Linked DNA regions of Anolis sagrei. The protein of the gene in region 2 interacts with the protein of the main gene of each other region in a pairwise test. Links are inferred from orthologs where the notes say so. Each region holds a gene or a part of one and is shown on either strand. Other genes may lie near its edges.

Region 1 (7,318 bases), on a different chromosome or scaffold from region 2:
ATTTCCTCAAAAAGCAGTCCAGCTAAAAAAAGAAAGAAGGTAAGAAATTTGTTTCCCATAATTTAAATTTTTGACCAGGCATTTTTGACCACTAAGCAAAGTCTGCTAACTTCAGGGAATTTTAATTAAATGTTGTTGTTCATTCGTTCAGTCGTTTCCAACTCTTTGTGACCTCATGGACCATCCCACGCCAGAGCTCCCTGTCGGCCGTCACCTCCCCCAGCTCCTTCAGGGTCAAGCCAGTCACTTCAAGCATGCCATCCATCCATCTTGCCCTTGGTCATCCTCTCTTCCTTTTTCCTTCCATTTTCCCCAGCATCATTGTCTTCTCTAAGCTTTCCTATCTCCTCATGATGTGGCCAAAGTACTTCAACTTTGTCTCTAATATCCTTCCCTCCAATGAGCAGTCAGGCTTTATTTCCTGAAGTATGGACTGGTTGGATCTTTTTGCAGTCCAAGGCACTCTCAGAACTTTCATCCAGCACCACAGTTCAAAAGCGTCTATCTTCTTTCGCTAAGCCTTCCCTATGGTCCAGCTCTCACATCCATAGTTGATTACGGGGAATACCATTCTTTTAACTATGCAGATCTATCCAGATTTTGCATTATCATTTATCATTCTGAGTCCAGGAAGAACTGGAAATGCATAGAATAGAGGAAGAGTGTCATCTATTCCTTCTCCTTCTAATAGATTATTGGTGTTATTACTATTGGTCTGCAACTGTGTATATGCAATCCCAAATTTTGTCTTGTGTTATTATTCAGCCCATAACAATCCATTTACATCATCAAGTTATCTGCATATTTCCTCCCGTTGAGTGCTGGGGTTGGGCTATTAGCTTACTTTAACCAATACCAAACCTTGCTGAAATTTACTGACATTTGCTTTGTTTTTATTTTACAGAAAATTAAGTGATTATAAAGTTTCCAGAAGATATAAAATTCAAGAGGTTATCAAAGTTCAGCAATTCTTTACATGATGCTCTACTTTTGGAAATACTATGTTGTGTTCTCAGTTTCTTCTTATGAATATCCAGAATAAGTTGATACATTTTTAAATTTTTACAAGCTTTATTTATTGCATTAAAATAAAATTATGCAACTGCCTACAAATAAAAACTAAACACTCTACATAGCAACTTAACACCCACATTGGCTCTCTTCAACTTGTATTATTTTGAAGTGGGATGTCAGTGTTATTTATAAATAACAGTGTATTATTTATAAATACACTCAGTGTATTGCGAAGTTTATATATCATCATCGGCTTTGTTTGTATGCTAATTATGTAACAAAATATATATTATTTCAGATGAAGAACATTTTAAAGGACCATCATAATTCATTCTGTCTTATCTTGGAGGGGAAAATGTACTGAGGTTGGGCTGGCTGCCAAAGAGCATGACTGCCCAGTTCTGTAGCTCCTTCTTTCACTACTTAGTCAAAATAAATTAATACCCTTAAAATGGTGAAATTATTACAACAAAAATGCAGTATTGGCTGTGGGGCATAACAGAGTACCCACATACACAAAAAGATTAATATTGGAAAGCTTTCTACCTGTCACAAACACCAATTAATTGCAGCACTCGTACAAGTTTGTGGGCCTAAAGACGGCACTTGCCTCTTACAAAGCCTCTCAAGGAAGCAGAACACAAATGCGCAGTCCCAACAAAAGCTCTTTCAAAACCAAATTGCAGAAATTTGGGGCAGATTTCAAAATCTAAATCCTTTCTCGCTACTGCTCTAATACCACTGAATTAGAGCTACCACAGCTAATAAAACCCTTGATAGTATCCCCTAAAATTACTAGGACCTCCGGGATGGTGCACATGACAATCTTTACATTACAACTCAAAGTTGAGGATCTGGGAGGAATAATTTACGGTCCAAGAATGTTCCTGAGTCCGTAGAAGGCAACTACACAATGTTGGCCAGGGTTCTTAAACATTTCCACTTGGGACCACTTTTGGCCCAAGAATTGTTTACATGACCTCGGATATATTTGACATATAAGATAGGTATAAAAACCGAACATTTACTGATAACAAATCAGCATTTGTAAGTCTTGCTAAGCAGGCTGATTTTCCTTTACATGAAGTACAGCTGAAGCATTTTCTGTAGAGTCCACTGTAAAAACTGCACAATAGATCCATGTAAATATCTAAACATAGCCATAAGATGACAGTCAGGAAAAAAAATTGTGAACTGAACATTGAACTAAGGGGAGCCCATTTGGGGTCAGAGCTAGAGATGGGAAGGCCTGGGGGGGGGGGGGGAACCAGAAAAATGGGGGAAAGTATTTTTTTCAGTGTTTTCCCCAATTTTTCTGCCCTGTGACGGCGCGTCTGGCGCAACTTGTATGTAAATATATAGTTGAATTGTTTGGTTATCTACAGTTTTCTATCAATGTCGTTTTACATCGGCTAAATTGCTCCCCCAGCTCAATTGTTTGGCTCCACCCCTTCCTAGGGAGGAGGGCAGTGCTTTCTTTTTCATTCTACCACCAAACTACTCAACAGATGGACGTGAGAAAGGCTTGGCTCTAAGGCCTTAGTCAAGTCATCTTTTACCAAACATTCTTAAGTTTGTACTCTTAAGATTCATACTTCATGCCCAGCTCATCTGGATGACATTGAGGAATCTTAAGCGCCTTCAAACCAGTCCTTTGGCATCAAGAAGACGACTTTGTGCCTTCAATATAGGTCATTGGACTGGGGTTGTGAATGTTCCGACTTCACAGCCATTGAGATACAGGGAACTTGGAAGCTACTCAGCTGGAAAACTCCTTGGACCCAAGACTCCAGAGACTGTAATGTATATTTTCTTTACCTCTTTTGGAACATCAAGTTTAATGCCTTAGAAAGATAACTGCTTGTGAACAATAAAGCCTATTTTGAGTTATCTATAGTGTCTTGATTCTTGAGAGTTCCAGTTCTCTAAAGGAAGGCAAGAAGCAATCCCCTGGGGAAAAGACGTCACGTCCATGTTTCTTTCACTAAGAACTATAGCCCCCAGACAGCGACGGCATATGCCCCCTGCCTGGGCCAACTATTTTTCTTTTGTTTCCAGGTCTTCCCATCTCTAGGCAGAACTCATGGTTTAAGAAGCTATGATTTAGGCAGTCTTATCATGGTTTTCAGAACTGCGTCCCACAGAGAACTGCACCTTTAATTGCCAAGGATGTAGAGATGGCTCCTTACATGGTTGTCATGAAATCATAATTGTCATGCCTCCATGAAGATCCTCACTGTTTCCTTTATTTAAGTCCCATTTTTAGTTAGAGGGGATTCACATTTTATGTATAGTTTGTGAAGAGGCAGATAGATAGCCCCCTTTCCTTTAAGCCCCCCTCTCTCTGTCCCTTTAAGAATCCTCTTAAGGGCAGAGATTCAGGCTATACCCAGGCTTGGACAAACCAGCCCTCAAGGTGTTTTGGACTTCAACTCCCACAATTCCTAACAGCCGGTAGGAAACACTGGAAATAACACTTGGGCCCCCAACATAGGTAGGATTTCTTTCCATAAAGGGTACCTTCGAATTACGTACTATCTGGCATTCTCCCTAATTACAACTCTTTCTAAAGCAATAGGAATGTGATCAGTGACAAAACAGCCATGACTCTGACTCAGATGTTATACCGGGCATGGGCCAACTTGGGCCTTCCAGGTGTTTTGGACTCCAACTCCCACAATTCCTAACAGCCTACCGGCTGTTAGGAATTGTGGGAGTTGAAGTCCAAAACACCTGGAGGGCCCAAGTTGGCCCAGGCCTAGTGCCTGGCATCTCTAATGATAACTCTTTCTAGCAGTGGTTCTCAACCTGTGGGTACTTGGGTGTTTTGGTCTACAACTCCCAGAAATCCCAGCCAGTTTAGCAGCTGTTAGGATTTCTGGGAGTTGAAGGCCAAAACATCTTGGGGGCCCACAGGTTGAGAACCACTGTTAAAGCAATAGAATGTGATCAGTGACAAATAGAGGCATGGCTTTGTCTCAGACTTCATACTCAACCTGCAAAGAAAAGAAAGCAACTGGATTGCTGTCAGACCACCAACAAAGTGTTAGGAATGGTGGGAGTTGAAGTCCAAAGCACCTGGAGAGGCAAAGCTTGCCCAGGCCTGGATTTGGAGGCTCACAGGCCTCTCTTCCGGTTTCCCTGGCAGGCAAAGTGCCTCAGGTACCCGGAAGTGGGTGAGCAGTGTGGCTTTTCCTTCCTTCCTCCGGCCGGCAGGGGGCGCCGGCGAGGAGAGGAGAGAGGCGAGAGAGGCGGCGTGGGGCCTACTCGTCGTAGTCTCTCTCTTCCTGCTCCTGCTGCTCTTTCCGCTCGCAGCCATGGCCGACGTTGAGGACGGAGACGAGCCGGGCGTGTCGGTGGCGCCTCACGCGGGCTCCTCCGGCTCGAAGGCAGGCGGCGGCGTGGACAAGATGTTCTCCCTCAAGAAGTGGAACGCCGTGGCCATGTGGAGCTGGGACGTGGAGTGCGACACCTGCGCCATCTGCCGGGTGCAGGTCATGGGTGAGTCAGGCCTGGCTTGGTTTGGGGGCTTCTCGGCCTACGGGCACGGGCGAACTTAGGCCTGCCGCCCTTCAGGGATTTTGGGTAAGCGAGGCTCTACTGTATTTCCATGAACCTGGCCATAATTTGAAACCAACATTTAGGGCTTTGTTCTGAGTGCCTGTGGATCCCCCAGTGGCATTGTGGGTTGAGCAGCTGAACTTGGTGGTTCCAATCCAGGGAGCAGGGTGAGCTCCCGCTGTTAGCCCCAGCTTCTGCCAACTTTTGTTGTTGTTCATTCGTCCAGTCGTCTCCGACTCTTCGTGACCTCATGGACCAGCCCACGCCAGAGCTCCCTGTCGGCCGTTACCACCCCCAGCTCCCTCAAGGTCAGTCCAGTCACTTCAAGGATGCCATCCATCCATCTTGCCCTTGGGCGGCCCCTCTTCCTTTTGCCTTCCACTTTCCCCAGCATAATTGTCTTCTCTAGGCTTTGCTGTCTCCTCGTGATGTGGCCAAAGTACTTCAACTTTGTCTCTAGTATCCTTCCCTCCAGTGAGCAGCTGGGCTTTATTTCCTGGAGGATGGACTGGTTGGGTCTTCTCGCAGTCCAAGGCACTCTCAGCACTTTCCTCCAGTTCAAAAGCACCTTCGCTCAGCCTTCCCTAAGGTCCAGCTCTCACATCCGTAGGTTACTACAGGGAATACCATGGCTTTGACTAGGCGGATCTTTGTTGCCAGTCTGATGTCTCTACTCTTTACTATTTTATCGAGACTGGACGTTGCTCTCCTCCCAAGAAGTAAGTGTCTTCTGATTTCCTGGCTACAATCTGCATCTGCCAACCTAGCAGTTTGAAAACCTAGCAGTTCGAGGGAACCACTGACCGCATAAGGAAGCTGATGAGGAAACACAACATACAAACTATCTACAGACCCACCAAGAAAATCCAACAAATGCTACGTTCAGCAAAGGACAAGAGGGATCCTCTCGCTTCTGCAGGAGTCTACCGTGTACCATGCAGCTGTGGACAAGTCTACATAGGGACCACCAAACGCAGCATTGCCCACCAAAAGGTCGGTAGTTCCAATCCAGGGAGCAGGGTGTTAGCCCCAGCTTCTGCCAACCTAGCAGTTTGAAAACCTAGCAGTTCAAGGGAACCACTGACCGCATAGGGAAGCTGGTGAGGAAACACAACATACAAACTATCTACAGACCCACCAAGAAAATCCAACAATTCAGCAAAGGACAAGAGGGATCCTCTCACTTCTGCAGGAGTCTACCGTATACCATGCAGCTGTGGACAAATCTACATAAAAGGTAAAGGTAGTCCCCTGACATTAAGTCCAGTCATGTCTGACTGGGGTGTGGTGCTCATCTCCATTTCTAAGCCGAAGAGCCAGCGTTGTCCGTAGACACCTCCAAGGTCATGTGGCCGACATGACTGTATGGAGCGCCGTTACCTTCCCGCTGGAGTGGTACCTATTGATCTACTCACATTTGCATGTTTTCGAACTGCTAGGTTGGCAGAAGCTAGGGCTGACAGCGGAAGCTCACACCGCTCCCCGGAATCGAACCTGCAACCTTTCGATCAACAAGCTCAGCAGCTCAGTGCTTTAACCCACTGCGCCCCCTTTCCTTTTAGCCACCTCTCCCTGTCCCTTTAAGAATCCTCTTAAGATAGATATCTACATAAAAACTCCAACCATCACCCAAGTCAAAAAAAGAAACACCATTAAAGCCTTGGCAGACCGTGCAAAAAGAATCTGCGAACCCCACCTCCTCCAAGATGAACTGAACCACCTCAACTGGGCTTTACAGGCCAATGGATACTCCACCTCAGACATCAGAAGAGCTGCAAGACCAAGAACAAGCCACGAGAGTAAAGACAAAGACCCACCCCGAGGAAAAGTGTTCTTGCCATACATCAAGGAAACCACTGACCGCATAGGGAAGCTGATGAGGAAACACAACATACGAACTATCTACAGACCCACCAAGAAAATCCAACAAATGCTTCGTTCAGCAAAGGACAAGAGGGATCCTCTCGCTTCTGCAGGAGTCTACCGTGTACCATGCAGCTGTGGACAAGTCTACATAGGGACCACCAAACGCAGCAGTGCCCAAACACGAATCAAGGAACATGAAAGGCACTGCAGACTACTTCAACCAAAGAAGTCAGCCATAGCTGACTTTACGGCCCCGGCCCAGCGTACCTGTCCAAACGTATCTCCTTCTACGTCCCACCTCGGAATTTAAGATCGTCTGGGGAGGCCCTGCTCTCGGCCCCACCTTTATCACAAGTGAGACTGGTGGGGGCGAGGGACAAGGCCTTCTCGGTGGTGGCCCCTCGCCTGTGGAATGCACTCCCCAGGGAGATTAGGTCATCAACATCCCTCCTCTCCATCAGAAGGAAGTTAAAAACTTGGATGTGGGACCAGGCCTTCGGGTAAGCTGGCAGTGGACAAAAGACAATGACGACCAGAGTAGGAAAGGACAATGACGATGCTAGAGGGATCATGGATTTATGAATCGACGAACATTGGCCACAATATGTTTTTATTGCTGCGGCTGTATTGTTTGATTGTTTTAATTAGTTATAATTGTTGACGATATATTGTAATTTGTATGTTGTATTTTATGAATTGTCAGGCATCGAATTGTGCCTTTTGTAAGCTGCCCTGAGTCCCCCCTAGGGGGTTGAGAAGGGCGGGGTAGAAGCACGCCAAATAAATAACTAATAAATAATAAATAAATAGCAGAGCAACTGATGAACCAACCTGGACACAGCATATTATCCGAGAACACAGAAATGCTGGATCACTC
Region 2 (7,849 bases):
ACAACAATCCTATCTCATCAGCCAAAAGCAGGCCCACACTTCCCATTGAAATACTTAAAAGTTTATATTTGTTAAAATTGTTCTTCATTTTAATTACTGTATTCTTTTAAAGTGTTTTTGCACTACAAATATGATATGTGCAGTGTGCATAGAAATTCATTCATGTTTTTCTTAAATTATAATCCGGCCCTCCAACAGTTTGAGGGACTGTGACCTGGCCCTCTGTTTAAAAAGTTTGAGGACCCCTGCTCTAGGAGATGTCTACGACAGACATCAGAAGAGCTGCAAGACCAAGAACAAGCCATGAAAGTAAATACAAAGATCCACGCAGAGGAAAAGTATTCTTACCATACATCAAGGGAACCACTGGCCACATAGGGAAGCTGATGAAGAAACACAACCTAAAAGCAATCTACAGACCCACCAAGAAAATGCAACAAATGATACATTCAGCGAAGGATAAGAGGGATCCTCTAACCACTGCAGGTGAAATGAAATGAAATTAAACTATGTCCCTGAAGGGACTCAGGGTGGCTTACAGCAAAATAAACACAGTGACAAACATTCGATGCTGACAGTAATATATAAACAAATCATGGACAAACTCTAAAAAACAATAAGATATAATATAATCCAAATAGTTCAAAAATATTAAATCCTTAAAATCTCTTTTAAAAGATATTTTAATGAGATTTTACCATAGACTGTGCAGCTGTGGATGAGTCTACATAGGGACTGCCAAACACAGCATTGCCCAGACATGAATCGAAGATCATGAAAGCCATTCACCGGGATTGTGGCGCAGCTGGCCAAGTGTCAGCTGCATTCAGATCACTCTGACCAAAAAAGGTCATGAGTTCGAAGCCAGCCCGGGTTGGAGTGGGCTTCCAACCAGTTGTGTAGCCTGTTGTCAACCTTTGCAACCTGAAAGACAGTTGCATCTGTCAAGTAGGAAACTTAGGTACCACCTTGTGTGGGGAGGCTAAATTAACTAATTTATGAGGCCATAAAAAAGACTCCAGCAAAAACACTCCAGCAAAAGCATGCAGGGAATGCGGAAGTACTTCTTCAGATACGTTGTATGCCAAAACTGGCATTGAATGTTTGCCATATATGTATACACTGTAATCCGCCCTGAGTCCCCTGCGGGGTGAGAAGGGCGGAATATAAATAGTGCAAATAAATGAATGAATAAATTCAAGCAGAGAAGTCAGCTATAGCAGAGCATTTGATGAACCAACCTGGACACAGGATAATACTGTATTTGAGAACACACAAATGGTGGGCCACTCTGACAACCACTCTGCTGAACCACTCTGAGTCTCCTTTGAGGAGTTAAAGCAGGGTATAAATATAATAATAACAATAACAACAACCATGTCAGACTACACAGAGAAGTCACTGAAATCCCCAAATATGTGGGCAACTTCAACAGAAAGGAGAAAACAATGATAATGAACAAAATCTTGTTACCAGTATTAAAAAAAAACACCCAAATCAAGACAGTAAATAAGGAACACCACTCAAAAACAGGGGAACTCCAGACATCAAGCAATCAAGTGCCAGCTAACACCTCACAAACAAAGGATGCTCCTGGGCAACAACAGCAAGGCTTTGAAACAGCAAGGCTACTCCATGCTAATCAAGCTGGCCAATTGCAACATTCACACTTGCTCCAAACAGACAAGAGTTCTTTCTCCTATGTGTAACACAATTTCTGTTCCTGGGTTTTAAATGTCATTTCCTAATTGGTTCTATCATAAAAACATAGGAAAAGTTTGTTAAACTGCAAAAACTGCAGGGACATCCTACAGCACATTTTGCGATAGTTTTTCAATGAAAATTGAGTCTCAATCAATTTAACAGTTTGTGACGGCCACAAAAATGGAAGTTTCTGGAGTGTAACACCTCCTTTCAAAGTATGTAAATGCTTTGGTTGCTGTATATTTTTCAGGCTGTATGGCCATGTTCCAGCTGCATTCTCTCCTGACGTTTTGCCTGCATCTATGGCTGGCATCTTCAGAGGTCTGCTGGCAGTGAGGCAAGTGGAGTGTATGTGGAATGTCCAGGGTGGAAGAAAGAGCACTTGTCTGTTTAAAGTATGAATGCTGCAGTTAGCAAGCTCGAATAGTACTGGGTAGCCATAAAGGTGCATAGTCAATCAGTGGGGGTATCTGCATAGAGGTAACCAGGGCTTTGTACCACACCCACTATTTGGGAGGTGTTAACTGGCACATGATTGTTTGGTATCTGGAGCTCCCCAGTTTCTGAATGGTGTTCCTTATTTACTGTCTTGATTCTGGTGTTTTTTAAACTGACAAGGGTTATTTCTCCCATCCTGGACATTATTACACTCCACTTGCCTCACTACCAACAGACCTCTGAATATGCCAGCCACAGATGCAGGTGAAACATTAGGAGAGAATGCAGCCGGAACATGGTCATACAGCCCAAAAAACTCACAGCAACCTGGCGATTCTGGCCATGAAAGCCTTCTACAACATAGAAACACAATGTTTCAAATGTTGTTACACAGTGTTACCTTACTTCTAGTCCCTTCAAACCATAGACTTGTGATAAAGGACACAGTGATTCTCAGAGAAATGTTCTCTCTAAGTGCCCTTCCACACAGCCCTATATCCCAGAATATCAAGGCAGAAAATCCCACTTTATCTGAGTGTGGACTCAGATAACCCAGTTCAAAGCAGGTATTGTGGGATTTTTTGCCTTGATATTCAGAGATATAGGGCTGTGTGGTAGGGCCCTAAGAATTTGTTAGGTCCTAGTGTAGAGCTTCTTTCAACCTTTTCCCCACTTGTGACCCCTTTCTAACCCCTAAAAATCATGTGACCTCAGGTATATAAAATAGGTATAAAAATAAATAATAATAACAAATCAGCATATGCCAGCTTATTTTCCATTCTATGAAGAACAACTGAAGCATTTTCAGCAGAGTCCACAGTAAACATTGCAGAGAAAGTTCATGTAAATGCCTAAAACAACGACTAGATTAGAGTTAGCCGATTTTTTCTGGACCCCAACATTGAGCAGAGGGCCCCAGTTGGGCTCAGGACCCACAATTTAAATCAAGGGTCCTCAAACTAAGGCCCGGGGGGCGAATACGGCCCTCTAAGGTAATTTACCCAGCCCTCGCTCAGGGTCAACCTAAGTCTGAAACGACTTGAAAGTACACAACAACAACAACAACAACAACAATTCTATCTCATCAGCCAAAAGCACACCCACACTTCCCATTGAAATCCTAATAAGTTTATATTTGTTAAAATGGTTCTTCATTTTAATTATTCTATAGTTTTTAAGTGGTTTTTTTGCACTTCAAATAAGATGTGTGCAGTGTGCATAGGAATTCATTCATTTTTTTCAAACTATAATCCGGCCCTCCAACAGTTTGAGGGACTGTGACCTGGCCCTCGGTTTAAAAAGTCTGAGGACCCCTGATTTAAACAATAATGTTCTAGTGCAGGGCTTTTAGGCCCCTTCTACACTGCCATATAATCCAGATTATCAAATCAGATAATCCACATTATCTGCGTTACACTGGATTATCTGAGTCTACACTGCAATATAATCCAGGGCCCTTCCACACAGCAATATAACCGAGAATATCAAGGCAGAAAATTCCACAATACCTGCCTTGAACTGGATTATCCAAGTCCACACTGCCATATATTCCAGTTCAAAACAGAAAATGTGGGATTTCCTGCCTTGATATTCAGGGATATAGGTCTGTGTGGAAGGGCCCAAAGGCTTCCTTTTCCCTCTGCAGAGGCTGAGGGCCCTTCCACACAGCCCTATATTCCCAAATATTAATGCAGGAAATCCCACAATATTTATTATTTATTCATTTATTTACTTCATTTGTATACCGCTATTCTCAGCCCTAAAGCGACTCACAGCGGTTAACAACAATCAAGCAAAGCAAGACAAGGCAAAACAATGAAAGCAAAAATTCAATGCGGCATCAACAAGGTATTTAAAAACAATCAACACAGAAGCAAACTAAACAATTAAACAGTAGCAAACATTCAAGTGGCGTCTCATAACTAGAATCATGATCCAAACTCGTCAATCGTAGTTCCATTTCCTGAATTCATTGCACTGCCTATTCAAACCCCTGTTCAAATAACCAGGTTTTCACTTTTCTCCGGAATACCATCAATGAGGGAGCCAATCTAATGTCCGTGGGAAGGGCGTTCCACAGCCGAGGGGCCACCACCGAGAAGGCCCTGTCTCTCGTCCCGCCAGCCATGCCTGTGTTGCAGGCGGGATCGAGAGCAGGGCCTCCCCGGAAGATCTCAAAGTCCTAGTGGGTTTGTAGGCGGAGATGTGATCGGATAGGTAACAATATCTGCTTTGAACTGGGTTATCTGAGTCCACACTCATATAATGTGGGATTTTCTGCCTTGGTATTCTGGGATATAGGGTTGTGTGGAAGGGTCCCCAGAAAATCAGTTTGAACTCTTGAGTCCACAGTGACATATATTCCAGTTCAAGGCAGATAATGTGGGATATTCTGCCTTGATATTCTTTAATATCAAGCTGTGCGGAAGGGCCCTTAAGCGCCTTTCATTTGCAGGTTGGGAGTTGTAGTTTCAGAATATACCAATATCTTTTGAAGCCGAGAGGACTTAAAGGTCATTTGGACTCCATTTCCCAGCGCGCCCTGCGGCCTAGCCCCTGCCTTTGAGCTTCCTTTCCCGTTGCACTCTGGGGCTTGGAGTCCCTCCTCCCTTGTTCCCCTGCGCTTTCTTGGCGCCAAAGAACTACAGTCCCGCGATGCTTCGCTGCCAGCGGCAGTGGCGCATGCGCGGTTGAAGCTGGCCGAGGCCTTAGAGGTCCGAAGCTTGTTTGCGGCCCCGGCTTCCTCTCCTTGAGGCAGTTTTGCCCCCTGGGGTGAGTTCTGAGGGGGTCGTTTTAGGGAGTTGCTCCTCGGGAAAGAGAGGCGGGTGGGGTGGGATTCAGGCTTCCGGGGGGCTGTGTTTGGGGAAGACATGGGAAGGGGAAGAAGGGCTGCGTGCCGGTCTCATGTTTGTGGCCAAAGGGTACGCATAGAGGTGAAGCTGCTTCTTCTCCTTTCCATGGAGGGAGAAAGGCCTCATTTGCACTACCATATAAGGCGGATCGAAACACAGGAAGCAGAAACGTACAACCTCCCCAAACCCTAGGCCCCATCCGCACTGTCACATAATGCATTATAGGGTTAGAGTCAAATCATATAATTCGTTCCAAAATGGCCATACAGCCCGAAAAACTCGCAGCAACCCAGTGATTCCAGCCTTCAACAACACAATGTGGTGTAACTGTTCTGAATTGTGTTGGGCGCCTCTACAGTGTAAACCAGGCATGGGCAAACACCCTAAATCAAGAAATAGTTTTCTGAGAACTATAGAAACACTCACAGGAACACCTCAGCAAACGAGAGTCCAAAAGTGGCAGGCGAAAACTCAGAACCACAATCCATGACTGATACCAAATGAGAGACTTCCTCCTGGGCACACAGAAAGCTTGATTCCACAACTCCCGTTAAAATGAGCCCTCCTCCGTAAATTACCTGCTTCTTATTTATTTATTTATTTACTGCATTTGTTGATCGCCGTTCTCAGCCCTAGGGCGACTCACAGCGGTGTACAACATATAAAAACAGTTTACAATAAGGGAATATCACAACAATAATATCAATATAGCAATCAAATAATACAATTACACTAAATCATCCGCGCCGTCTCATCGTAGAATCATATACCAATCTCATTATCCATATTCCGTTCCAGTCATCATTGCCAATTGTTGTAGCACTTAGTCAAACGCCTTCTCAAATAACCATGTCTTTAGTCTTTTGCGGAATGTCATAAGGGAGGGCGCCTGTCTGATGTCTACAGGGAGGGCGCTCCACAGCCGGGGGGCCACCACCGAGAAGGCCCTATCCCTCGTCCCCGCCAGGCGTGCCTGTGAGGCAGGCGGGATCGAGAGAAGGGCCTCCCCAGACGATCTCAAGGTCCTCGTGGGCTCATAGGCCGAGTTTTTAATTAGTTTAATTATCTCACCCGAGTTTTTAATTAGTTTTAATCAGTTTGTCTTTTTAATCACGACATGTAGCCTGCCCACTATTACTGTGCCTGTGCGTATTGTAATTTTTATATTGTTATGTATTCATATGTTTTATGTAACTATGATGATATTGTTTATTTGCGTTTTCGGTTTCTGTTTTTGGTTTTTCTTTATTGTAATTGTCATTTGAGCTTGGCCTCATGTAAGCCGCTCCGAGTCCCCATTGGGAAGATGGTGGCGGGGGTATAAATAAAGTTTATAATATTATTATTATTGGCGCTGAACAGACTGCGCTCTGGCACCACGAGATACAGAGCCACAAAGTGGAGTCCACGGCATGCGAGTGAGGAGAAGAGCAAACCACAGACCACCTATTACAAATCAATCTGAGCCCTGCTACATGCACAATGAAGGATCTTCTTATAGCAACACCAGAAGCACTCCAACTGGCCAGCTACTGGTCAAAGGACATTTAATAGAATAACAAGTTTGCAAACTTTCAGTTTTGTTTGTTTGTTTTTAATGCAATACAACTGTTTGGTTTGCTCCTGACATGATAAATAAATAAATTGGGTTCTTATAGGTTTTTCGGGCTATATGGCCATGTTCTAGAGGCATTTTCTCCTGACGTTTTGCCTGCATCTATGGCATCCTCACTACCTCTGAGAATACTTGCCATAGATGCAGGCGAAATGTCAGGAGAGAATGCCTCTAGAACATGGCCATATAGCCCAAAAAACCTACAACCCAGTGATTCCGGCCATGAAAGCCTTTGACAAACAAACAAATAAATAAATAAATACCATCAGATATACTATTTGAAGGGCAACCAACCGTGGCTGAAAGAAAAAGGACAAGTTTGTCCTAGACTTCTGTGCCAGAAACAAGCTTGTGTTGCTGGAAGTGAGCCTCTGGAGACCACTGAGCATTTCATCAGGGACTGCCCTTTGACCAAAGAGACCTGGCAAAAGGTGGCCATCGTCTTTGACTGGTCGGACTTGGTGCTCCAACCTTGGGATGCTGTGGCCTCTGGAATGGAGCTGGAAAACTGTATTTAGGGGCAACGTCGACACTAAGGAAGGAAGAGGAAGAGGGGGCAGAAGGCGTACACTCAAGAGGTCTTTTGGGATGTTCCTTGGTCACCGACAAGGTTGATCAACTTGTATGTTCTCCTGGCCCTGGTTTTACAGAGACGTCAAGAAATAACAACTCAAAACCCAGCAAATGTTACCTCTAGTGTAAATTGGGGAGCAGAGAAAATAAGAGCCCTGAGTAAAACGGAACAAGGCAGGATGCCTTCTAACTGATGGAAAAGCTCTTGATACCATAAATAAAAATAAAATGGGCAAACTTGGGCCCTCCAGGTGTTTTGGACTTCAACTCCCATCATTCCTAACAGCCTCAGGCCCCTTTCTTTTCCCCCTCAGCCGCTTAAGCAGCTGAGGGGGAAAAGCAAAGGGCCCAAGACAGAATTGTGGAAGTTGAAGTCCAAAACACCTGGAGAGCCCAAGTTTTCCCAGGTGAAAACTCAGATAATACTGTTTCACTGCACTGAGCTGCATTATATGAATCTGCACTGACCCTGTAATGCAGTTTCAAATTACATTATATGGTAGTATAGATGGGGCCAAGGTTTGGGAGTTCTCTGTCTCTGGTATGTATACAGAGAGCCTTTAGTTGGTACATAACGGGCAAAGCCACTGAAAATAGTACCTGTGGAGCAGGACTTCTAGAGAAGCCTTTCACAGAGTTAGTTTCTGGGTAAGCAGGGAGAATAGCC

Evidence for each region.
Region 1: the proteins of CSNK2B (region 2) and RNF7 interact in a two-hybrid assay, tested with the Homo sapiens proteins (2 studies listed by BioGRID). The link is inferred for Anolis sagrei from reciprocal best matches to the Homo sapiens genes CSNK2B and RNF7.

The regions. Positions count from the first base shown.
Region 1 is NC_090023.1:236,793,534-236,800,851, forward strand, and holds the start of RNF7 (RING-box protein 2), read left to right. Parts: upstream 1-4,238; 5' UTR 4,239-4,331; coding exon 4,332-4,515; intron 4,516-7,318. Other genes in the region: uncharacterized protein, read left to right, coding at 1-39, 905-916. UniProt on the Homo sapiens protein: Catalytic component of multiple cullin-5-RING E3 ubiquitin-protein ligase complexes (ECS complexes), which mediate the ubiquitination and subsequent proteasomal degradation of target proteins.
Region 2 is NC_090022.1:19,659,944-19,667,792, forward strand, and holds the start of CSNK2B (casein kinase II subunit beta), read left to right. Parts: upstream 1-4,804; 5' UTR 4,805-4,914; intron 4,915-7,849. UniProt on the Homo sapiens protein: Regulatory subunit of casein kinase II/CK2.